Caenorhabditis elegans: one gene and its partners. The protein of the gene in region 4 interacts with the protein of the main gene of each other region in a pairwise test. Each region holds a gene or a part of one and is shown on either strand. Other genes may lie near its edges.

Region 1 (6,984 bases), on a different chromosome or scaffold from region 4:
CCCTCCACGGCTCTCTATCCTTGTGAGCAGTTCGCATCATCTAAAAATTTAAATTTTACTTAAACGGAATTACTGTGAGCAAGAGAACAAGGGAAAATACACGGAAAATCAAATAACGACTAGAAAATAATTAAAATAAAAAGAAATGACTAAAGATCCGGCGAGAATTGTTGATTTGTGTCTAACACGAGTCCATCTTTCACTTCAATTATGGACTTATTTTCGCGGGAATATTGAAATTTCGGGCTTTTTCCATAAATCCATTTCCAGGCTTTCAACTCATCAAAGATTTTCGATATTTCTGCATTTTTCTTCACTTCCTCTGCAACATTCACAGTTTTTATATGTGATTCTTCGAACAGTTTTCTGAAATTTTTTAATGATTGGAAGTTTTTAGTTGCTCCGTTCACCTATAAGCTTCAACAATGGCTAATTTTGATTGTTCGACATTTGCATTGGCATCATCTTGTTTCAGAAATCCAACAGCCGGAGCTCTTACGCTTCTTGTAGCATTTGATTCGATTTTATCTCTCCATGGAGATTTCAAAGATTTTGATAATACTTGAAGATCCGCACCGACGAGGAGTGTTAGATGGTGATAGGCTTGACCTCTTAAATTATTCACATAACAAGTGTTTAAAATATTTTTTTTAAAAATACCGCGCAATTCTTGCAGCTGTTCCTGAGCATTTCCGTTCTCCTGGATGTAGTTCCATGTCATCACGCTTGTTTGGAACGATTTTAACAGAAAATTGTTGATTTAGAGCATCCGAAATGAACTGGAAATAATAAAATGATATTTTTATTATTTTGAAAAATGATATTAATACCTTCAAGTTTTTTGGCCGACAGTGTTGTGCGTGTGTTGTTAAAAGTGAAATATTCAGATTTCCTAGATCATGATAAACAGTGCCTCCTCCACTGTGCCTTCGGACAATTTGAATATTATTTTTGTTAGCATATGGTATGTTGACTTCAATCCACGGATTTTGATGTCTTCCGATGACTACAGCCGGTCGATTACTCCACATGAGCAGGATTTCCCCGTTTTGAGCGACATTGTGAGTCTGAAATCAAAAACTATAGCAAAGGCACTGAAATTACTGCTGAACTGACCCTGAAAATATGCTCCTCATACGCAAGATTTTCGAAAATGCAGCTTGACGTGGATTTCAGAACTGTGGACAATTTTCCGCGTGATATAGAACACATTTAACAAGAAAAATAAATTAGGAAAAGGTAAGAAAACTGTTTATTTGCAAGATTTGAGAAGAAGAGATTGCTAGCATTAAGGAGACGCAGACATTCAGTAATTGCGCTCCATTTATGACATTGTGGCGCGAGCGTTCAAAACATAAATTTTACTTTTTTTTCATTGATTTTTGTTTGATCTAAATTTCCGAAAGCTACCTGAAAACTGTTTAACGCTTTTCTACTATAAAATCGTCACCTTAAAATCTTTTTTAAAATATAATTTTTGTGTGAATTATAAAAATGCACAGTAGCAGTTTAAAGGCACACTTCTTAGTTCAAAGAAATGGTCTTATCACGATTACAGTACCCAACCTGAACGCGGCGCGAATTCCGGATTTATCCCCAAAACGTTTTTTTCCTCCGTTTTAGGTGGCCATTTGTACCGCGTCCAAAACGCGTAAAAGTCCCCAAATTGTCTTCTTTGTTCGACAATTGCACTGAAAACTGACAAAAAACTAACAACATCGGGACTTTTTCGCGTTTTGGACTCGGCATTGAAACTAATATCGCTGTGTCTTCCTTCCTGATTTATTCGTCTTTATTTTTTGTATTTTTCAGAATCAAAATGGATAATAACGTTGAGGATAAAAAAGAGGCAATGCTCAAACGATTAGCAAATCGACACGGTAACAAGATATTTATACTTTATCTCATTATTTATTTTCTTCCTCTTTCAGAGAAACGCCTTCTTGATCAAGTCAAATCGAACACAAAGAAGATCGATTTGAGAGCAACCGAGCGAGCCTTTTTGGAGTCGAGTCCGACTTCAATGAATATGCGAACTCCTCTCAATCCTTCAATCAGCTCTTCTGTATCAGATTCCCCGATTCTATCATATGATGAGAAAGCCAACAAGCAAATTATTGCACTCGCCACGTGGTGCAACACAATGATGGAATTGGATGTGTCTGAAGAGATGGATCTAGGAGAGTCGAAAGCAGAAGCCTGCAGAAATATCCAAAAAATGTTGAAGAAAAGATCAGATACGTCAGAAGTGGAAAATACACAGGAAAATGCACGCAGGAGATATCAACGGATTTTTGAGAAAAATGATCCAGAAGTTGTGAAGAAAAAGTGCAAGCAGCTTCTAGACGATTCAGGAATGGATGCAAGCATCAAGGATCTTCTGTCCAAAAACAACGTCGCAATCCGAAAAGAACATGCCGTATATAATGACATAGGCCTCCAAACAACTCTTCTTCACACATTTCTATCATTCCATCCTGCTTGGCTGAAAACTGCTCTTGAAGCAATCTTTAACACGAGAATTGACGCTCAACCGAAGCATTTAATGAAAAAACTTTCTCAGTTTTTCCTCGATCTAGTTTTCTCAAATCCGACGATGCTAAAGAACAAGAAATTTGCACAAGGTTCTGGAAAGTAAGTTGCTGATTTCAGAGGATGAACGAGTTCGTTAAAATTATGCCTAATCAAATTTTTGCAGACCGATCATCACTGAGGCTGGCAAAGAAGCTCTACACAAGCATTTTCTGTCCGTCTCGATGAAGCTGATGTTCTTGATTGAAACGGCACACACTCATCGAGTTATCCCGAATCTGACGAGAATCTTCACGAAGTCCTCTCATTTCAATTGTCTCGACGATGTGTTCTCCGAACTGACGAAGGAATTGTTGACTGGAAGCTCTGCTACTTTCAAAAAAGCGTTTGCAAAAGTCGGTTTTATTCCGACTTACCGACAATCATTCATTGAAAATTACGACTACCAAGCGAAAGGATTTTCAGATTTCTCGGATGGTCTAATTTTGGCGTGAGTTTCTAGAAAGATTTCTTATAAATTACACGAGCTTTTCCTCATTCAACAACAAATGTTATCACTGTCCCTATTTCCACCGATCATAACCTATTTTTCAGAAAGCTGTTGGAAACTGTCGGAGAGATGCCGCATGGTCAAATTCTGTTGAAGTTACGTGATCCAGCAGGCGACCGCATCCGCAAAATTGGAAACGTGAAGATTGTACTCCAGGAGATGTCTTCTTTGGGTGTTCCAACGGATAATGTTAACGCCGAATCAATCGTTGGCGGAAAGAAAGACGAGATTTTGTCTATTTTGTGGGCTATTATCGGAGTTCGTGTGGCCAAGGAACAAAGAATCAAGGTGACGAGAGTTTCTGAAGAAAGAACTCCGAAAAAGCGGCGATCTGCTGTCCACGATGACATGTCTTCTGAAGTATTAAAAATGTGCAAGATTTACGGAAGACAGATGGAAATCGAAGTCATGGACTTGGATTCACTCTCCGATGGGTGCCTTCTGGCCAAGTTGTGGACCACTTTCGGAACAAATTCAACACCGATTCAGGACTATGATGGACTCAGTCTGTGGGAGAAAGTTGTTTCAGTTGCCGAGTTGGAGCTTTGTATTCAGCGAGGACTTGATCAGAACATGGCTCTTTTCGTAAAAATGTTTCTGGAACGACTGGGTATGATTCAAGATCTAAATGAGAAAGCGACCAAGATTCAACGAATGTGGAAGGCCTACGTGCAAAGAAAGGTATTCATCAAAAAATAAAGTTATTTATATTATAATTCACTTTCAGAATACTCCCAAGCTGTATTTCATTGTACAACAACTTCTTGCCGACTCATCAATTCCTCGAAACCGAAGTGTTTCTCCATTCTCTAATAATGTCACTTTCACAGTACCGAGGACTCCACGGAATAATATTCTGACTGAAAGACCATCTCTATCACAAATCCCATCGTCTCGCCAATCAATGGATTCTACCTTCAACGATGCGACGTTTACTGTTTCACGTGATTCAATTGAAAGCATGAACAAGATGCAGAAAACTCCACTGAGAGGTACATTCACAAGAAAAACAATTGCGATGGTTATCGAGGAAGAGGATGATTCGGAAAATAACGAAACGGTCGTACCAAGTACATTGAAAAAGAGAACCGTTGTCAGAATGGAGCACAATGCGGAAGTATTCAGAGAACAAGATGAAGATGATGAAAACCAAGACAAAGACACTGTTGCTCCTTCCGCTGAGAACTTGGATAGTCCACCTTCAGACATCCCATTAGAAACTCTTTCTTCTATTCCTTCCGCTTCCCAATCTGCCATATTTCTTCAAGACTCTGAAACTGGCAAAGAGATGCATGTCCCTAAAGCTGAAGATGTCGGCGTCGTAGTTCTTGAAGCATCAGATTCTCCGGTTGCACTAGAAGGGAACAATGAAGCAAGCTATGATGGTCAGAAAATTGAGAACTTAGAAACTTTTGAAATCAAAGAGGGCAAGACGCAAGAAGATCTACCTTCAAAATCTCCTATGGATCCTACGCAGACAAGCGGAAGCCCATTGGTTGAATTCAGAATGACAGAAGAACAGGAGCGTTTAGAGATGCTTTTCCAGTCATTATCAGAAGATCAGAAGAACTTCGTCAAGACGAATAACCTTAGTGTGTCTATTGAGGACGATGCCAACACTCCTGAACTTAGAAGGATCTTGAGACAAACCAGAGAACTCAAGAGAAAGCAACAGGAAATTGTGAGTCTATATCAAGTTTGACAGATTATTTAATGGTGGACTCAACAGTCAAAAAACGAAACATTTTTTGCTTTAAATGAGAGAACAGATCATAATGACCACATATAACTGTAAAAAATTGAACATTTTTCTAAATTTTTTAATGGGTTTTTTAAAAATTTTGTAACAATAAAAGAAGCGACTGATAAGGCCCGCCGAGATATTCGTTTTCCTGGAAAATTTGAATGGATTTTCTTTTCTCATCTGGCGTCTCAAATGGAAGCACAAAAAAATCCGAGAAAAACCAGTAAAATTAGCTGTAAAAACGGATATCTCTAAAAAGTGGTCAGGGCCTGGTTAAAAATGGTTAAAAGTTTCAGGCGAGAAAACTGGGAAACATCGAGAGAAATGCGTTAGCTGTTCGTGATGGCGGGGAGGATTCGTCCGACAGTAGATCAGATGCTGGGCACGATGTTGCTATCCTTCACGGTGACGACAGTCAACTCTTCGAAAATTCAATGCAATTGGATCAGAAATCTCAATTGCAAAATGATGAGACTCAAATTCTTGAGAATAAAAAGAAGGCAGCTGTTGTCATTCAGAAAATGATACGTGGTTTCATTGCACGGCGTAAATTCCAAATGGAAATTAGCAATATTCGCAATCGCATGATCCAATACAATCACATATTGGCGCAAGAAGACGAGCAAATTGGTATAGAAGAAATGGAGGATAAATCAGTCGAGGCAAAGTGAGAACTCTTTTTTTTTTAAATATATTTAAAAAAATTGATTTTCAGGCTAAAGAAATGCGCTCTTCATGGACTCACAAATGATAACCTTCACGTCGTTCATGTTGCTGCAACTGTCATCGGTATGTCGCAAATGAAAATTACGAAGAAGCTGCTTTTTGATCTGAAAGTCATAGAAACCAAAAGTTTATGAATATGCCGCCATGGATGATTTTCTTCGTCAATTGCAAAACCATACAACACATAGAAATGTTCATATTTTGCAGACCGAGTCACCGATCTTGTTCCATCACTTTTGGAAAAGCTTGTCGTCGAACTGAATGGCATCAAGTCGATCACTGATGTTTTGATTGTGGCGGATCGAGGATTCTCTTATACGAGCATTCTTCATCCATTATTGAATGTTCTCGAAAAATTATTCACGAAGATTCCCGAAGAAGTCACCAATTCGCATATTCTCCCTCACTTGAAGATTTTGTCGCCTCGCTTGATGCTACTGATGCTGAAGCACTCGGAAGTCAAGGAATTGTTTATTCCTATCATTAACACCTTGACTTCAATTGCTAGAAGATTCCCAGACAAAAAGCAATCGAGTTTTTCTTCATCAAGCTACTCAATCAAGCAGTCGCTCAAAAAAGTCAAGGATCAGGAGTGTCGGAATAAATTGGTCAGATTGGAAAGCATATGCGAAGATATGCTCTAAATTAGTCTCTGTTAAATATTAAATTCATCCCACCGTTTTGTGTATCATATCGTGAAAAAATACACACGGTTTAATTATTTTTATGTGAATATTTACCAATAAGATCAGTCAACCTGATGCTTATTTGGATTTTTTGGTATTTCATATTTGTTTCTTAAAGTCTGTTGTGAAGTAAAAACTTGATTTTAAATACTACCGTTTTTTTTAGAGTATGATGAATTTAGCTACTTTTAGAAATTCAAGAAGTCTGCTATTTTTCTCTGTTCCCTCTTTAAAATTTTTGAGTTTTGCACTTGTTGCGTAGCAGATGGCTCATCCGATTTGCAAATAGTTACTCGTCTTACTCTCCGTTCGCATTACACAGTAACCCTCCGACCATCTTTTTCTGCTCTTTTTTGTACTTTGTCACGTCATTCGGCTCCTGCTCCGCCTACTCAAAATTTTTATGGTTTTTTTCGAAAGTTTGAGAGAAGTAGTACTCGTTTTTCCGAATTTTTAAAATATTGTTCATTAGTTTTTATTAATTCCAGCTATATGCAGTGCCGGCCAAAAGTTGGTGATTTTTCAACAACAAAAAAAAATCAAAAGTAGCTACTTAAGTAGTAATTTTAAAAAACTTACCAGACAGGATTTTCATTATAACTTTGTCTAGATTTTGCTTTCCTCTGGAAAAAAAGTTGAAGCGGCTGACATCTACAGGAATAGATTTGTATATGTTCTCTTGCAACACATGTTTTTGAATTCTAAAGGCGCGTATGGGTCTCGCCACGTGGGAAACGAGTTTCTGT
Region 2 (4,663 bases), on a different chromosome or scaffold from region 4:
TTTCATTGGGAAACAGGTATTTAAAAATCTATAAAGTGAAATATTTGTTTAATGTGGGTAATGTGTTTTGCATATCCAAAATTTTCGAAATTATGCGAGTTTTACTCCAAAAGTACAGTACCCAGTCTCGCGACGACAAATTTTTGTTAAATACAAAAGCGTGCGCCTTTAAAGAGTAATGTAGATTCAACCTTTTATTGCTGCAGCATGCTGCCAAATTCTCGTTGAATTTTCAGCTTTCTCGCCATTTTTTCTCGAAAAACTGAGAAAAATCGATAAAAATACCACAGCAACGAAAGTTTGAAATTACAGGGCACACTCGTTTAATAATAACACGATTAAAAGATATTTCAGATTTCTTCAATAATTTTTTCAATAACTTGAATTCTTACAGAATCAGTTGTCGATTTCTTCCTGCAACTTCTTCCGTACTTCGTCAATGGTCAATCGTTTTGTGTCTATCAGCACCACTTTGCTTCTTGACTTTGCTCCCTGAAAAGAAGACAAATTCATGGGAATTCCCTCAAATGTTCACGTGAATAATCTGATTCGCTTTTACTATTTCAAGGAGTCATGAAAGTGTTTTCGATTATTTAGAAACTGGTTTCAACTTCAAAGAACATCGATTATATCGTTCGATTCACTTCAATTTATTTGTTTGCTAATTCTAGCTTCCTTTTAAATACCTACCTTATCAAATTGTAATTCATTTTTTCGAAGACCCAAAGCACTCATTAAATATGAAATGAGCTCCTCATTGGCTGCTCCTTCGCGTGGCGCTGCGCCAATTGCTACATCAACTTCCGAATCTCCGATTGCTGCGAATTTAACATTTAGTAAACATTTATCTCTCTCTCGATGTTTCTTCTTCTTTGCAAAATCAAAAATATCTTACCTACAACACAACTCTTCTTGGCGCCCGGTTTTGCGTGAATATGCAGTCCGATTCGACCTTCAGTATCGGAGAAAATCGCTGATTCCTGCGCTTTTTTATCAACTATTTCGCCGGTCGGAACACATTTATTCGCTATTTTCTGTAATATCGTTATTTTTTCTTGATTGATTTTTTTAAAAATTAATTACCTCTTTTTTTGGCTTAACCATTTTCTCCTTGAGGCACGCAGAGGAAGTTCGGAAGAAGCCTGTCCACATAAAAAACTTTAAATGAAAACTGAGAGAAAATTTATGAAAGTCACGATCGTTCTGTGCACTGAACGTTGTATTTTTCTCTGCGTCTGGTGGGAGAGTGAGAGAAAAGGAGAATAAAACAACGAGGACAGTTTTACTATGCGGAATATTTTCAAATTTCGGCGAAAAAATATATTTGTTGAATATGTTTTTTATTTAAAAAAACACAAGATTGTGTTAAGAAACAAACAATTTTCGGATTAAAATTTCTTTACAGTACTCCCCAAGTACAGTATATCTTTAAAGGCGCACACCTTTCTGCTTAATGGTCCCGACATGTTTTAATTATTTAATTTAATAATGGCGCCATTTGTTTAATTTTCAATTTGTTTACCTTTTCTTTCAGACGTTCTCGCGATTTTTCTAGATTCTCCCGTTAACGACCGTTATCAGTTTTTATTTCCAAGTAATTTCTGCGAAAATTTTTCAGGTTTATTATCTTGCACTGATAATCAGCAAAATAGGTAGAAAAAGCGAAGTATTTCTTTTGTTTTCTGAACTTTTCCCTCATTTACTTGTTGTCGTCTCGTTTCAAACACAGTAGCATTAAGGAAACGTGTCTTTTGGCTACATTGTAGTTTTGTAGCGGGAATCCACAATTTTCCAAGTGAACTTATTGCGAAACTTAGTCACCCCACCATCTGATTGGGGGCAAAGTACGTTCACGGAGGACCTACAAATACTAGCTGACCAGTCCTCAGTTTCTCTATCTCTTCTTCATGATTTCTCGTTTCTTTTATTCTCTTTTGAGAACGTATTTTCTAGTTTATCATTTTATCAATTGATTGTTTGCAGCAAGAAAGATGACTGACGTCGAGCAGCCAGTATCAGTTGAGGATCAACAAGCCCAAGCCCAAAGCTACTACGATCAAGTCTTAGGAAATGCTTACGTACAAACGGTATTTTTATATCGCTTTCCAAAATCTTCGTTTCACAATAATTTTTATTTTCAGGCAATCAATGCATACACAAAGACTAAAGAGTTCCATCCACTTCTTAACTCCACATTGAATTCAGCCGAAGAAAAGGTTTCCACTGTCGGAAATTATGCGGCTCAAAAAGCCTATGACGGATACAATTCGTACTACGTTAAGCCAAAGAACACCGCTTATGAAGCAGTCTCTTATGGAACCGAGAGGGCCAAAACAGCTGTTGAGAGCGGAAAGCAAGCTGCTATCGTTGGTGGTACATTCGGAATTGGAGCTGCCGTCGTTTTGACCCAATTCTCACTTGCCTTGAGTGCTGGAGGTGCCGCCCTGGTCCTTGAGCAAGTGGACAGTGCTAAAAAGTTGGGAAGCAGCGCGATTTCTACGATCAAAGAAGCCGAGCTTGCTGTCGAACACAGAATCTTCTCAGCTCTTCATCAGGCCCAACGAATCGCCATGGTTCCTGTGGAGAAAATCACAGAAAATACTAATTCATTGCTTGACATTCTTGACGGAGCAGTTCAGAAAGGACTCAATATCGAGGTCCCACCATCTGTGAACCTCACCATCGGACAGCGAGTCAAAAATCTGGCTTCACTGATCGTCCAAGGAGTATCTAACAAGGTAGAGAAATGTAACATTTTTTGAAAATCCGTCTAGCTTTTTAAGGCACATGATCATGTTATCGATCCAATCAACGAGAGAGCCCGTAATTATCTTGAGCAGCTCAGCCAATCCTTCGTATTGGTTAGTTTATTTTCATAAATGAATATATATTGAATCTAAGATTGATACTTTTCAGCTAGACATCGTCCGTGAGAAGAAAACGTGGGTCATAGAGAAGTCAAACGAGCTCTCCACATCTGTCTTTGATTTCAAGAAAACACTTGAGGAAGAGGCACAAAAATACAAAGTTGCTCCAGAAGAGATGTTGATGAAACACATTCAATCAACCTCCGAGCAACTCTCAACACAACTTCAATCATTGCGTGAGAAGGGACAAAACGTTGGTTGTTCTATTCTAGAAAGTATAATTTATTTTCTTTTTTCCAGGTTTTCGGTGATGGAACTAAGATTGACTCCACCATTGACTACTTGGAGAACTTGAAGAAGAACTTCACAGATGCTGAGGATGTTTACAAAGTCCGCGACGAGGTATCTAAAATTCATTTTAAAAAAAGTTTATCTAAATAAGTATTCTTACAGGTTCTGAACGAGGGACGTCAACGGATCGCCGAGCTTTCAACCTGGACGACTAGCCTTTTGGTTCGTCAACAAACCGAATAGTAACTTTTCTTCTCAATCACCACTTTACTATCTGTAGTCTTTTCATGTCAAATAACTGGCTCAGTTCCTAAATGATGATGACTTCTACTCTTTTCTCAATTTTATTTGTTTTTGTCAGACCTTTGCCCTCCATTCCCCTCCTTCGCACCACCCTCACAAATTTTTTTGATATAGAAAGCAAGTGATAGGCTGGCGACGATGATGGCATCTTTTGTCATGCTATTCAATCTTCTTTCTTTTTGTTTTTTTCCTCTCCATTACACCACTTCGACTTGACCTGTTCTACTATATCACCTGCGCCGCTCCTTCTCGTCATCATCGTTGAGAATGGTTGTTGTGTGGATGTTGCCTATATTTTGTCAGATGTACGATTACCTTCTCAAATTATGCACAGTAAGCAGCCACCTCCTCCCATTTAAAATTCTCACCAGTACCATACTCCTCCCCACATATTTATTCTATCAGCCGTACGTGTATTTTTCCATTCTTAAAAGTCCAAAATCCCTCGACCTAGGTTACCAAAAACAAGGGTACGGAAATAAAGATACATAGCATACGGTTTTGCAGATTATCTCGGCCGAATGGCAATTTGAACCTGAAGATCTACTAATCGAAGAGCTCTACTTCGATGCGCCACCGCCAGTTCGCACAAGAAACTTGTATAGGAATCGTGCCTAAATTACTGATTAAATTGAACAACTTGTAAATAATAAATTGAGTACTCACCTGATACTGATAAGTCTAGATAAGATGCCGATTATCGGGGAAATAAGAAATCACATGTGACACTTGCGGTGATTAATCGCTTGTTTCTCCGATCTTTACACTTAACGTTAATGTCTGCCTCTTTTTATAATTTTAGTTCCTTCGCTTGAAAAATGGAAAAAATGCTTGCTTATATTACGGGAACACAAAAAAAAATGACTACTATTTAAATGACTACTATTCTTTCGACCTCCGTAAAACAATACGTACAGTAGCCTTTTATCGAATTACTGTAGTTTTCGCTACGAAATATTTTGCGCTTTAAATATGTTGCGCAATACGCATTCTCAGAATTTAATGTTACAATAATATCCAAACAAGTAGGGCTGCTTAGGCAGCAACCCCCAGCAGCCCCATAGCAACACTGTACCGTAATTTTTTATTTTCTAAAGTTTTTTCAATTATTTTTCTAAAGAGCTGTAAATAGTCAAAGTTGAGCAAGTTTTCCCGTTCAAGGACGAAAATCTCAGTCTGTGAAAGAGAGAAAATGAAACACG
Region 3 (7,695 bases), on a different chromosome or scaffold from region 4:
AAAAATACACAGATACAAATTTCTAGCTGAAGAGAATTGAAAGAATGAGAAAATAATAAAGACTCGGGCATATAAAGGATGTGTGGAAAGATTTGGAAGGGAAAAGTATGAAGATACATGAATAAAACTGAAATAAATTATCTATAAACGACCGTTTATTCTTTGTTGATGCCGGCGATCAAGTTCCTCGTCGTCACTATCACGACCCGTCTCAATCTCGTTACGCGTAAACTCGGCGAGCACTTTAGCTGGTTGCAAAGGTCGCCGTTCGGATGCCCGTCTGCAAACTCTTTATAACATTAGTCGGCGTTCGTTGAATACATCTTTTGAAAGGGGGATTCTAATTAATTTTCTGTAATGGAATAGATAATGATCAAGAATTAGTGATCACCTATCACGGGAACACCAACTTCTGAGTATGCGTATTGCACAACATATTTTTGACGAGCAAAATATCTCGTAGCGAAAACTACAGTAATTATTGTAATGACTACTGTAGCGCTTGTGTCGATTTACGGGGTGCATCTCAAAATCGTAAAATTTAGTTTAATAGGTTTAAAAAATGTCTGAAATCTTATCAAAAATTTTTTCAGGGGGGGAAAATTTTCTGAAAGAAAAGAAAAATTGTGTTTTTTGATGCTTTAAAACTTTCATTTCAATGTCCGAAATCATCCAACTATTCATCACTTTTTATGAACATTGTCGCTTTTTTTTTGCTTTCCGAAAACTCAATTTGCATTTATGATCCTCAAGGGATACACTTTTGCTCAACAAGTCAAGAATATACATTTTGGTGTCGCAGCTCTTTCGGCTTTCACCACTTTTACCACAAAAAAAGGGACTTGGGACTACTGACAATGGCAGCTACGTGCCATTTTCTGGTGGCAGTGCTATTTTTTATGAATTATTCAGGGACCGACTACTTTTTTTCACATGGCTTCTCAATGAAGTGTGTCATATGTCCTTTTGCAGGCAAAGGAAACACTTATAGAGGGATCCTTGATTCAAAAAAAATAGATGAAAACGTTACCTGATTATAGCATTATTCTTTTGTGGTCGAATTAGTGGTTGTTTCTTTGGTGGAGCCATTCGCCACTCGACACGTACACTGTTGGCATTAGGACGACGGAACTGCAAGAATAAGGATGAGTTTCAGGAAGTTATCAGCAAAGAATTCCAAGCATTCGAGCAATTTAAGAAAATGAAACCAACAGCAAACAACATCGAGACACTTTTCATCAACAATAACACATATTTTACGTTCGTATCAATTTCTTTCAAGTTTTTTTTTCAACTTAATCTTCTTTTCTTAGTTAAAGTTGCAATACAATCTAGTTTAAAATGTATGAGTTTTTTACGGGGGAGTATAAGATCACAAGACCGACATATTGGGGGATCGATGTCCACACATCAAGACCGATACAATGCATTTTTAGAAAGTTAAATGTTTTTTTGTTGGGAAAACGATTTTTAAGTGTGAAGGGAAAATAAGAAAGGGATGTCCTTACCAATTTGAATTAACATATTTAACTGGAATTGTTTTCTTTTTTTTGGAATATAATGAAAATTAATTTGTATTTTCTAGGATTCAGGAAATCTATAAAAATCTGAGATTTTGCTTTTAATTTTTGGCTAAATTCCATGTTTGAATTCGCACCAAACTGAGAGAATTCAAATAGGGAATCGCCAAAAATTGAAAAATCTGATTTTCGAAAATTCGACATTTCATTCTTTCTCTTTTTTGGGTATTTCTGAGAATCAAACTATTCTGGATTTTTTTAAAGCAAAATCCCTACTCCATTAAAAAAAAATCGTCAAACATTAATAGTCTTAACCACTGATTTGAACTCAAGACATAAGCTTTTTTTAACTATAAAAAATATTTACCATTAAATTACGCAGCAGCCAACGTAAATTTTGAGAAAAAAGCAAAAAATTAAATTCGACATGCTCAATATCTCTTTTTCTCAAAAACAACATCGATAAAACCACACAACACGATATTTAATGCTTTCTCATTTTTTCTCACCAGATTCATCCATCGGACTTTCATAATTAATAGCTTTGTGAGCATCGCTAAGCGCAACGGCTGATTCGACTCGAGCACGTTCGCGTTGTGCACACTATTGAGAATGTTTTTTTTTTTTTTTAATTTTATTTATTTAATTTTCTAAAACTTTTGGGTACACTTTCTAAAATCTCAAAATTCAGTGTACAAAAGGCAACTGGTCTATTGGCACTTTAAACCACGTGTCTACTCAAAAGAGTGGGCGAAATACCATCTGATTTGAAATGAATTACGTAAGCAGCCGTTATCGTCTGTACGAAAAAAGAAATGTGTGATAAATGCTGGAAAGCAATAGTATCAGACATCAAGTGGGAATAATAATTAATGTTTTGTTTAAAGAAAGGGAACCAACCTTGGTACTGGCAATGTATGCAGCTTTAACAGTCTGTACAACAGCAGTTAAAAGATTTCGAGCCGTTTGAATAAGAGACATTGCAGAGTCAAGTGCAGATACGACAAGCTCATTTCCAACTTGAGTCACATCAGCTTTCACCTGAAATATTACTTTCTATTAAAAGTTTAAAGTTATATTTCACATGGTTTTTTGAAAGCAATTTAAACAAAACTTATTTATAGTAAGTATATGAACAATTTTCTAGTATAAGTGAGGCCAATCACAATTTTTTTTTCATTTTTCATGGCTTCAGTCTAGAGCTTGGTTCGCAAAAAAAACGCGAAGTAAAATTATATCTCTACTGAAATCGTTAAAAACAGTTGAAACCTCTTTTGGTGAAATATCACACTATCTATAAGTTTTTTTTTTTAATTCTCAATTTTTTCAAAAACTTTTCAGATAATTCTGAAAAATACGAGATTCTTTTCAGTTTTAGTTTTTATAGACGCGTTTTTAATTGTGAATCTTTACAATTTTCTTGAAAAACTAATTTGACAAATTTAAAAAACCCCCGAAACAAACAATTGACCAAAAACATTTGGTACGCTTTTACAGCTCGTGGCACCAATTAAAAAAACTCACCTTACTACAAATATTCAGTTGCTGACAATATAGAGTGATTTGTGACAAATATGCGAGCAAATCCTTTTTCGTCTGCGAATCAGCACTTTCTTCTCCAATCTGCCGTGCCAATGCATTTAGTTTTGATCCATTAAGTGAGATTTCTTGTGCTGCTCGGATAACATCCATTGTCGTTTTCAATGGCCCACAACCTCTTGTGAATTCTGTCATACTCATCATAATCTTACACATATTATTGGCCAATGATATAATATCATTTCCTGTTTCATCCCACTTGGCAACTTCTCTTTCGAATCGTGTTTGTGTTACTTTGAAGATATCAATTTGTGCTTGAATTTTCTTTTTCTCTTCTTCTGGCAATCGTCTCATCAGATTCTGTTGATTTTCTTGTTCGGATATCGTACGATTAGCATCTGCATTTGCTGCACCAACACCATCAGCTTCATACTCTACATCCGAATCAACATCATTCATACTTCGGTTCATTAAAAGTGCATGTCGAATGTCTTTAACTGCATCGTGAACTAATGTACAAGCATTGATAAATTCATTCATTTCTTCTTCCTTTGTTTTTGGATCCCATGTAAGTCCGTGTGCTTCTTGACGGTTGGCTAAAGCGCTCGCACGCTCAGCGAATTGATCTACACGTTGAGTTTTCAAAATCCGAACAGCTTGCTTAACAGTTTCAGTGTATTCAGAGTTCTGAAGGAAGTCCATTTCAGCATCGACAACGTCACAGACTCGGAGAGCTCGTCCACGTATCGATCCGGCAGCACAGTCGACAGTTTCACAGTTGGCCGCATTTTCATCCGGTGTTGAAGCGTTTGCCTGGAAAATTCAGTTTGAACGTCTCAAAAGTTGACGAATTTAGCGAAAACTATTTTTGTTAATTTTCATTAAATTTAAAATTTTGAGAACTAAAATACTTACCGTGATACCTTTGATTCCCCGCTCACAGTCTTCAACAATATGTGCTTCACTGACAGCCAAAAAGTCGTCCAAAGTAGTGATATTGTCAAGAGCAGTCGTTAACAATCTCACTTTGTCAAACCAAGCATTTTTATAGGTTTCCATGTTCTCTTGAGCAGTTTTTGAAGTAGGTTGATGGCAAAGTAAGATGGCAGCTTGAGCAACTTGTGGAGCAAGTTTTTCAAGTTGAGCAGCCGTATGCTGAATGACACTAACACTTTCAACATCTGATGAAAGTTGACAAGAAAGACGAGCAACTGAAACAATTTCATTTGCATGCTCTTGGAACATCTTTGAACGATATCTTGTATTCTCTTCATGGCCTTCTTTAGCAGCTTCTATCAGTAAAATAAGCGGTGTACGGGTATCCAGGAAAGCATCACTTATATGATCTACAATTGCACGACGAAGGTGTCGCCGGAGATCTTTTGTTCTTTTGTGTACTTCTGCGATTCCAAGAGGAATATCATCATTATCATCTCTTCGGCCGGTCTGAAAAATTACAGATTTAAAACATAGTTAAACAGGTCGTAATAAGCTTTAAATTTTATTGTAAAAACTTTGTAGTCTCTATATTTTCTACTACTACAAATTTTTTAAAGAATTTCCCCGAAATTCTAAAAAAAACATTTTCCATGTCTGAACTCGCGGTGGTCATTTTTTTTTCTAAAAAACGGCTTTAGTTCGAGTTCGGTTAACAAACAAAAACAGTTGTTCTCGCCCTGAGGGACAAGGCGTCACACTTGAAAGAACGCACGATTGTTTGTTTGTTTGTTCTCACCGTCTCCATCGCCCTTTTGTGAAAAAGATGCGCTTCTTTGAATGTTTTTTATTTCTTTTTATTTTAAACGAGGCAACAAGTCAAGAGATCAATAGAAAAAACTTACAGATTTTTCATATTCGGTCAAAAGTTCTTGAAGAGCTTGCCGCAAATTATTGCATTCAGCAACAATTTTTTGTTTTCGATTTTCACGAGTGCTTTCAGCATCGGCAATTGAAGCAGAACCACTAACAATTCGTTCACAATGTCCTTCAAGATCTGGACGATCAGTTCCTCGACGATAATGGGCTGGATCAATTTCGATTCGATTCTTAAAATAAATTATTTGTCTTATTATTTGAAATTTTTAAACTCACTTGAAAAGTATCGATTTCATTGATAAGATCGCCTATTCTTCCATATTCAGAAAATGTTACTTTCGGTTGTTGTCCGTTTAAAACAGATTCAAGAGCATTTAAAGCAGAATGCATTTCATCTGCAGTGTAATCACGATTTCTTCGAGCTTCTTCATGTTCTGGATGTCTTACAAATGTTCGTGTTGAAGTATACAGAAGTGGTGCAGTCTGTCGAAGTGCTGATCTTGCTGCTAGAAGATCATCTCTCTGATTTGGTTTAACCAAATCAATGGCTCGTCGTCGAACAGTGATATCAAGTTCTTCGATTTGAGAAATGAGAAGATTGTACAAATCATCTACTTTGATTTTTGTATCCGCTTCAATCATTTGGTGTGCAGTTTCTCGAACTTCATCTACTTTATCAACTATCACTTTTACATCAATCGAGTCGGCAAGAATTAGGAATTTAGCGACAGCCTGAATACAACATTTTTCAGTTAAAAGAGTACCTAAAAACTTACAGTCAACAAATTTCTACCAGAATTCGTTGCAATAGCTCGTTTGTTTGTTGAAGTTGAATCTCTGACAAAATCTCTTCCAGTTTGAATCATCACTTGCCCAGTATCTTGAACTGCTCCAAGAGCTTCGTGCAATAAATCAATTGCGCGTGGATCACTGTTTGCAATTGGGCATTTCGAAATTGCAAAGCTTCCCGTTTGAAGAAAATTAGCAACGGCAGCATCAAGAGTGGCGACAAGTCCTTCAGTAGTTTGTCCAGGTTTTAACGGAAACGTTTCAGTGATGTTGGTCACTTCATTGATTAATTGAGTAATTTGTTTCAAAACATTTTTCGAGCGCACTTCGTCGATGTTGAAATACGCATGAGAATTGCCATTCGCAGGCATTCTGAAAATTAATAAAATTGAAAATTCAGATTAGAATGCAAATAAAACGAAGAGAAATAATATTTATATTGAGATGAAATCAAAAAATATAAAAAGAAATACATAACCTTACATTAAAGTATCGATTAGAACTACTGTTAGATTTGAAGGCGCACGATAAAGAAGGGGTGGTTGGTCTCAAAGAGATCCAAGAGGGTACTGTCACCGTTAAACTTTATTGGCAAACACAGAATTTACTTATTCTTTGAGAAAATGACTCATATAAAATAAAAATCTTTACTCTAACTTTTCAAAAATTAAAAATTAAATTTTCAATGAAAAAAATAAAAAATCCTTTCGCAAAATAGCGAGAAACAAGTGTGGTGGGGCCTGTGAGGCCTTTCGGGTGTTTACTCAACGAAAAAACAAAACAATTAATAGGGGATTATGTTTCACATGCCGGCAATTTAGGAAATAACTATTTTTTAAATAAAATTTAAGAAAAAAACAAATTCGAAAATTAAAATTTCGACCGAAAATGAAGAAACTTAGTTTTTATTTGCCATGTTGAATATATGTTTCACACTCAAAAATTTTCAAATAAAAAAGTTGCGAAGCCAAAAAGTCACAAAAAGCAAACTTTTGAGGTATTTGCGAGTGAGAAGTGAATATGGTGAAAACGATGATTCCGCACCATCAACCGGTGTACGAAGACACTGTTAAATATAGAGAGAAAGAAGACACATAAAGAAATGATGATTCAGTCGGGTTGGCCGGTCGGTCAGTCAGCGGGTGACGAGTGAGCGGAGAGAAGGGTATAAGAACGGACGAGCGGCGGGAATAGAGGACGAAGAGGCAAGGACACTGGTCAATGGAGATGAAGAGACACAGACATTGGGACGGACGGAAGCAGGACGGTTCCCTTCGGGATGAGCAGAGACTCGACAGATGGAGAAGATGACCGAATTGAGTTTGTTTGCCCGACTCCCATGGATTATAAAATTGGGTACGTATGGCCTATGTTGGGGCAACTGCAGCAGCAGCGTGTGAGTGTGCGCCCCGGAAATAAAGGACTTTTATGGAAGGAGTATTGAGAAGATGATGGAAAAGGGACAAAAAGTTTCCCTTTTGTTTTGACGTCTTCTACGTCTTATTCGGAGATTTCGAGGGATAATTCTGAGGGATATGGAAGGACAGTGAATTGATGCATCATCATCATATTCTTATATTGGGTATTGAAATTTAAATTTGAATACGACCGAAACAATTTCTCGTTTCAAAAAAGTGGAATCTGAGTCATAGAGAAGTCTGAATCACGTTTTGTACACGGCAGCAGCTGTTTGTAAACTTTGAATCGCGGGGGTGAACTGAAGTGAAAAAAAAGAAAAAAAACTAGGAAAAATCAGGGAAAGTACATTTTTGAGATTGCATTTTTCTGAGAACCTGAACTTTCTCAGATGATATCAACAACATTATTAATCACTGCAACACGATCTGTGCTATTGTAAAAATATGTTCAATAATAATTTGATTTAGAGTCTATTTTGTCCCAATTTTAAGAGGTTTCTCCTGTCTAAACTTTCATAGACAATTTACGGAAATCTAGTAACTGTTGCCGGCTTATTGAACTTTTTCACTGGAGTTACTAAGATACTTATAGAATTTTTACGAAGTGTGGCCAA
Region 4 (6,157 bases):
ATTTCTCTAAAACATCAACCCCATTAAAATGATACTTAAGGCTCAGTAACTGAAAGTTGGCAATTTCTTGACATTTTCAATTTTTGTCTCGCACCTCTGATATACATTGGTGATCATAAAAGTTCAGACTTTTCATAAACCTTGGGAATTTTGACATTGTGTTAGTGTAAACTCAAGCTGCGGTGTTCAAAATTTTCCAGTTTACCAATTCTGAGAAAGTCTGAAACGAGCACACACACACACACACACACAATGTGCTCTTAAGAATGAAGAGTAGACAGCAAGTGTGTATAAACATGCCATAGTGTATTGAAAGAACCTATAGTGCATTTGTGCTTTATGGTGGGCATGAAGTGATGTCATCTGATCCCTTGTTGGGTCAATCGTTCTCACAAAAAAAAGCTGTGGAACACATTCGTAAACAGAACGTCGATGCCCCCCGTTTCTGAATCATCAGTGACATTTTACTTCATTTCTAAACATAACATTTCCTTTTTTTTGCCTTCCGTCATTGTTTCTCATATTTTTCTATACGACGATTACTCATCAAAAGAGGACACGCTTCATGTTTTGTAACGAAATGGAAAACTATTTTTTTGTTCTTATTCGGGAAAAGTTGGATGTGAAACATTGGGAGAACACCGCGCACGGTTGAGGGGGGGGGGGGGGGGGGAAGAGGAAACCAATTTGACCACTATGTTTTGAAAAAAAAAGAATCTCAATGAGTTTTCTGGGTGATACTAATTAAATTGCGAACCCATTTAATCAGGTCCCTCTTTCTCGGCACTTTGTTCGTTTTCTTCGCAACCAATAAAACTGGACCCCGAGAGGTAACATGTTGTTGATGGTTCCTGATGATGCTCCGCTCTTCCCGCTTCTCATCTCCCCCGCATTGTGCAGTTGAAAGCAAAACTTGCAGTGTAACACCGAGAAAGCAGGGCAGCTAATTCAATGGAAACAATTCAAACTTTTTGGAGAAAAAAAATCTAAACCCTCTCGCTCAAAGATTATATTCCGGCGGAATACAGAAAAAAAAAACAAATTGTTGAATCATATAAATTCAAAAATCGAACATGTGACAATATCCAAGAATAGAAATTGATGACTAATACAATTTTCAGAAATTTTGCTTTGTTGTGATTTGAAACAAAATCATTTTCAGATATACTTTGAAGTACAAAAAGTGTTGAAAACATGAGGAATTTTCCTTTAACACTGGCACGTCATGCTCCACTTTGACAAAATACGTGTCAAATTTTTTTCTACATTTGAACATTGAATCATTTCTTAATAAAACTAGAGACCATCGATATATTGGAAAATACGGTTCCTTCATTACCAACTTACAGTTAAAAAACCTCGCTTTTCCTGATATTGATGACAAAAAGATTAATTCTAGATTCGAATATATCACTAAGTATGGCAAGAAAAGAGTTCTGAGAACATCTTTAGTCTGCAGTGCCACGACGTCTGCAATTGTTTTGCAACATTAAAATCTTACGGTTCCTTATCAAATTATCCCTTAAAAACCGAACGGCCGTTCGCTTTTCACTGACCAATTTCATAATTACAAAACATTTTTAGGCGTTTTTCTCACGTTGCGCTCTGCCGAACGCCTCATCTTCGAGGCGGGAAGGCGCGACGCGGTCCCCCAATTCAAATTTTCCAGGACACCACCACCACACTGTTTTTCCCTCCGTGTCCCGCCCTTCCGAGGACCGTCTGTCGGATGGCCGCTCTCCAGTATTCCCTCAATCCCTCATTCGGTTGGGCGGGGCCAGCCGACCAATGGCAAAGAGCGGCGCGGACGCGTCGCGTGCAGCAGTATAAATAGGCCACGAGAGGCAGAGTTGTGCACTGGTTTTTCACTAGGCACCCGCTTTCAGTTCCCAAAAAAATGTGTGACGACGAGGTTGCCGCTCTTGTGGTGGACAATGGATCCGGAATGTGCAAGGTGAGTTGATAACATTTGAATAATTCTAATTAGGGACAAAGGTTTAAAACAATATTATGCAATCTTAACTGCTCTAGAAACATTTGAATATAAGATTTAGAAATTTTGGAAAATTTTATTTTGTTAGTTTTAACTGCGCTTATTCCAACTCCATGTCTCAAATTTACTTTTCATTTGGGTTTAAAATTTCCAACAACCTAGGAATAATTCCATTGCATTGTATAAAAAGTTGTTTCCCTGCCGCATAAGGATTTTGAATTTCTATTCCTTCTCAACGTTTCGATTTGCATTGTTTCGCAAATAATTATGGCAACAGTTGTAGTAGTAGTGGGTGGTGATTCATATCGTCCGTCAACACCTGCGCGCGGTCACTCGCTCCCTCCCATTTTCAAATCTGGCGCCACGCGCCCCTTTTTCATCCCACTGGGAGAATATGTAAGGGGGGGGAAGAAAAAAGGAATCGTCGCAAGGATATGTTTTTAGTGTATGTAGAGTATTGTTGGAGAGGGGCCAACCCGACCCCGACCCGATGCGCATTTGCAATGGTGTGTGAGGAGAGGCCGTCCGTTGAGGGAACGTCCGCGACGTTTCCTTCGTACAATGGGATATATCACGACCAGCCAACAGTAGTGTAATGCACATTCCGAGAGGGCAGTGGCAATAGTTGAATAGAGATTTCGCCAGTAGATTAGCAACCCCATAAGATAGAAAGAGAGGCAAACCATTCAACAAGAACAGCGATTTTTTTCGTCGTCAAAAGCCAGTAGTTTTTTGTCTATCCACGACGGGTATCTTTATTTGCAACCACCTCACTTTGCAATCCTCATTAAGTATAATTTGGGAACGAAGAAGCGCAACGCGAACATCAATTATCCGCACCACCCTCAATAGTGCTACTTGGCTAATTTGTGGCCCTAGGAAACAAGATGTGTGTGAGTGTCTGAGAGTGTGAGATTCCGATGGTATTGGCGAACCCTTCCCGGATTTATTTATATATATGTGTCAGAAAAGAGGCTGCCGCTAATCGCTAATCTTGACAGTGTGTTGGTCAAGTGTGCCCTTGTATCCTCCTCGCATCACTGTATGCAGGGCGGCGGTTTCCCTCCATTCGGCCTCTCTTGTTGAATGACTACCACCACGCCAACAGCCGAACGGATGGGAGACGGATAGGACACAAGAAGGGACGGACGGACTGTCAAGGCCAAGAAATGCCACCTTTTGTCAATCCTCACTATATTGATTGATAGAAATGAATATGCGCAATCTAGACATGAGAGTCCGATTGAGGCCAAGTAGTAGGAGGCGAAAAGTGCGATTAGGATGAACGGGGAGAGAGTAAGTGACCGGGATAGGATTGTACAAATGCAATGGTCATCAGGGACTTTCATCATCAAAATGTCCCCCTTCCCATTCTAATTCAATTTTCCACAATTTCCATTTGAAATCAAAAAACTGACACGCTCACATCTGGTGCTCTTGGTGTGTAGACGATGACTCAATGCATTTCGAAATCTGTCTTAGTGCCCGAATGCCCCGCTTCTCAGTGCTGCTGATGGCCTCCCATTCGCCCCGTTTCCTATCTCATTATTCAACAGCGCAATTGGATTGCGAAATGGATCTGAGTGGGTAAAAAAAAACGGGGCCAGTGGCAGCAGCAGGCCCCTGCGACCAACACGGGGGTAAGCGAGCGCTGGGCACACTCTCTCACACACACACACACACACACACACACACACACACAAACACAGAGAGACATACACACATCTGTTGAGCGTTGTCGCCGCTCACCACACACCAAAGCGTTCTCGGAAAAAGTACTTCATTCGATATCAACCGTGAACTAGAGGAGTAGAGCGAGAGAGGGCATTTTGAGAATAGGGGAATGGGCCTTTTGTGTTTGCACTGCTCTCGCTCGTGCGCGGACTCACTGCGCTCTGCCAAATCTCGACCGAATTCTCGCCGCAACCTTCTCTCTTTGCAATGTAAATATAATGGACATTCTTGAAAGACCTAACGAGAGTATTCATTTCTTATCTAGGGGTCATCATGGGATATATTGAAACAAAAATTGATAATTTCAGGCCGGATTCGCCGGAGACGATGCTCCACGCGCTGTCTTCCCATCCATCGTTGGACGCCCAAGACATCAAGGTGTGATGGTCGGTATGGGACAGAAGGACTCCTACGTCGGAGACGAAGCCCAGTCCAAGAGAGGTATCCTTACCCTCAAGTACCCAATTGAGCACGGAATCGTCACCAACTGGGACGATATGGAGAAGATCTGGCATCACACCTTCTACAACGAGCTCCGTGTTGCCCCAGAAGAGCATCCAGTCCTCCTCACTGAGGCTCCACTCAATCCAAAGGCCAACAGAGAAAAGATGACCCAAATCATGTTCGAGACCTTCAACACCCCAGCCATGTACGTCGCCATCCAGGCCGTGCTCTCCCTCTACGCTTCCGGACGTACCACCGGAGTCGTCCTCGACTCTGGAGATGGTGTCACCCACACCGTCCCAATCTACGAAGGATATGCCCTCCCACACGCCATCCTCCGTCTCGATCTTGCCGGACGTGATCTTACTGACTACCTCATGAAGATCCTCACTGAGCGCGGTTACTCCTTCACCACCACCGCTGAACGCGAGATTGTCCGTGACATCAAGGAGAAGCTCTGCTATGTCGCCCTCGACTTCGAGCAAGAAATGGCCACCGCTGCCTCCTCATCTTCCCTCGAGAAGTCCTACGAACTTCCTGACGGACAGGTCATCACCGTTGGAAACGAGCGTTTCCGTTGCCCAGAGGCTCTCTTCCAGGTAAGAAAATATTTGCACCTCTAGCTAAACATAAAATTAATTCCTATTCATTTCAGCCATCCTTCTTGGGTATGGAGTCTGCCGGAATCCACGAGACTTCTTACAACTCCATCATGAAGTGCGACATTGATATCCGTAAGGACTTGTACGCCAACACCGTCCTTTCCGGAGGAACCACCATGTACCCAGGAATCGCCGATCGTATGCAGAAGGAAATCACCGCTCTTGCCCCATCGTAAGTTTAACTTAAATGGATTTCAAGAACTAATATTTACTTTCTATTTTTTCAGCACCATGAAGATCAAGATCATCGCCCCACCAGAGCGCAAGTACTCCGTCTGGATCGGAGGATCCATCCTCGCCTCCCTCTCCACCTTCCAACAGATGTGGATCTCCAAGCAAGAGTACGACGAGTCCGGCCCATCGATTGTCCACCGCAAGTGCTTCTAAATTTTTTGCCCCTTCCACCCACAACGCTCAAAAGAAGTTCGTATTATCCCGCAACCCATCCAGACCATCCTTTTACATTTTTTTTATTTTCTCTTTTTTTTTTCTTCACCCTCTCCGTGTACATTGCTAGTAATAGTTCCAACTTCTCTAGCCGACTGCATTATGCTTCCCATTCTCACCCAAATCTTCATTGGTAACTTCTCTTGTATTTGTTCAATACTATTCCGGTAGTAATCTAGGCATGTATAACTAGGTTCTCTGTGTATCTTTGGTTTGAAGTTGAGGTTTAATGCAATCACTTTTGTTGTTGTACCCTATTACTGCCGATGACCCCCATTTTCTCATTACAAAATTGACATTTTAAACCATTTTTTCTCTGAATCATGCTCATTATTTGAGCCACATTCATAATAAAGCTTTTAATAAGACAAATTGATCAAGTTTATCTAATGTAAAAAATACAAATAAAGAAAATTCAACCCGGAGGAGAGATGAAGTGAGTAGCTGTTACGGAACACAGATTATTTGCCTTGTTTGTTTCCGAAGATGTCTCCGACGCGGTCCAAAATTGAGCCAATACTGAGCGGATCATCTGGATTTGTGCAACGGACTCCTAGTAGTTGATCCTGTAATTTAGAAGGTGAGTTTTTTTAAACTAAAACAACAAATCTTAGAAAAATATGTTGTTTTTTGAGTTTAAAATAAGAATTGAACACAAAATGTACAACAAAAATTAAAAAAATTCATGGAATTCTTGATCCGCTTTTATGATTAGTGTCTCATTTTGTTTTACTCAAGTATGTTATTAAAAATATATCATACAATGTTTGAAAAAATATTTTTAACGGAAAAAAACAGGATATGGACGCAGCCTATTATTCATTTTCTACAAGTCGAAACATTGCCACATGAATATAGCATTTTTATAAAATAAATA

What was found.
Region 1: the proteins of act-4 (region 4) and aspm-1 interact in a two-hybrid assay, tested with the Caenorhabditis elegans proteins (one large-scale study listed by BioGRID).
Region 2: the proteins of act-4 (region 4) and plin-1 interact in a two-hybrid assay, tested with the Caenorhabditis elegans proteins (one large-scale study listed by BioGRID).
Region 3: the proteins of act-4 (region 4) and hmp-1 interact in a two-hybrid assay, tested with the Caenorhabditis elegans proteins (one large-scale study listed by BioGRID).

Annotation. Positions count from the first base shown.
Region 1 is NC_003279.8:9,221,219-9,228,202, reverse strand, and holds aspm-1 (Calponin-homology (CH) domain-containing protein), read left to right. Parts: upstream 1-1,812; 5' UTR 1,813-1,819; coding exon 1,820-1,880; intron 1,881-1,931; coding exon 1,932-2,634; intron 2,635-2,698; coding exon 2,699-3,022; intron 3,023-3,126; coding exon 3,127-3,763; intron 3,764-3,809; coding exon 3,810-4,763; intron 4,764-5,122; coding exon 5,123-5,493; intron 5,494-5,541; coding exon 5,542-5,615; intron 5,616-5,759; coding exon 5,760-6,196; 3' UTR 6,197-6,453; downstream 6,454-6,984. Other genes in the region: gip-2 (Gamma-tubulin interacting protein 2), read right to left, coding at 1-40; lipt-1 (BPL/LPL catalytic domain-containing protein), read right to left, coding at 150-366, 411-611, 661-779, 831-1,067, 1,117-1,212.
Region 2 is NC_003279.8:7,055,217-7,059,879, forward strand, and holds plin-1 (Perilipin-1 homolog), read left to right. Parts: upstream 1-1,975; 5' UTR 1,976-1,991; coding exon 1,992-2,087; intron 2,088-2,141; coding exon 2,142-2,738; intron 2,739-2,774; coding exon 2,775-2,861; intron 2,862-2,916; coding exon 2,917-3,120; intron 3,121-3,167; coding exon 3,168-3,269; intron 3,270-3,320; coding exon 3,321-3,380; coding exon of another isoform or gene 3,381-3,401; exon of another isoform or gene 3,402-3,951; intron 3,952-3,968; coding exon 3,969-4,079; 3' UTR 4,080-4,128; downstream 4,129-4,663. Other genes in the region: W01A8.2 (UPF0235 protein), read right to left, coding at 397-492, 691-818, 896-1,034, 1,084-1,152. UniProt on the Caenorhabditis elegans protein: Lipid droplet-associated protein which plays a role in lipid droplet clustering.
Region 3 is NC_003283.11:11,844,217-11,851,911, reverse strand, and holds the start of hmp-1 (Vinculin), read right to left. Parts: upstream 6,036-7,695; 5' UTR 6,035-6,035; coding exon 5,651-6,034; intron 5,607-5,650; coding exon 5,151-5,606; intron 5,105-5,150; coding exon 4,901-5,104; intron 4,829-4,900; exon of another isoform or gene 4,606-4,828; intron 4,506-4,605; coding exon 3,975-4,505; intron 3,873-3,974; coding exon 3,045-3,872; intron 2,562-3,044; coding exon 2,421-2,561; coding exon of another isoform or gene 2,373-2,420; exon of another isoform or gene 2,124-2,372; coding exon of another isoform or gene 2,016-2,123; exon of another isoform or gene 1,132-2,015; coding exon 1,031-1,131; intron 290-1,030; coding exon 142-289; 3' UTR 1-141. UniProt on the Caenorhabditis elegans protein: Required for cell migration during body enclosure and cell shape changes during body elongation. Required for proper localization of other junctional components, such as pac-1.
Region 4 is NC_003284.9:4,958,765-4,964,921, forward strand, and holds act-4 (Actin-4), read left to right. Parts: upstream 1-1,856; 5' UTR 1,857-1,897; coding exon 1,898-1,954; intron 1,955-4,035; coding exon 4,036-4,770; intron 4,771-4,826; coding exon 4,827-5,005; intron 5,006-5,060; coding exon 5,061-5,220; 3' UTR 5,221-5,649; downstream 5,650-6,157. Other genes in the region: M03F4.6 (EB domain-containing protein), read right to left, coding at 5,742-5,846. UniProt on the Caenorhabditis elegans protein: Actins are highly conserved proteins that are involved in various types of cell motility and are ubiquitously expressed in all eukaryotic cells.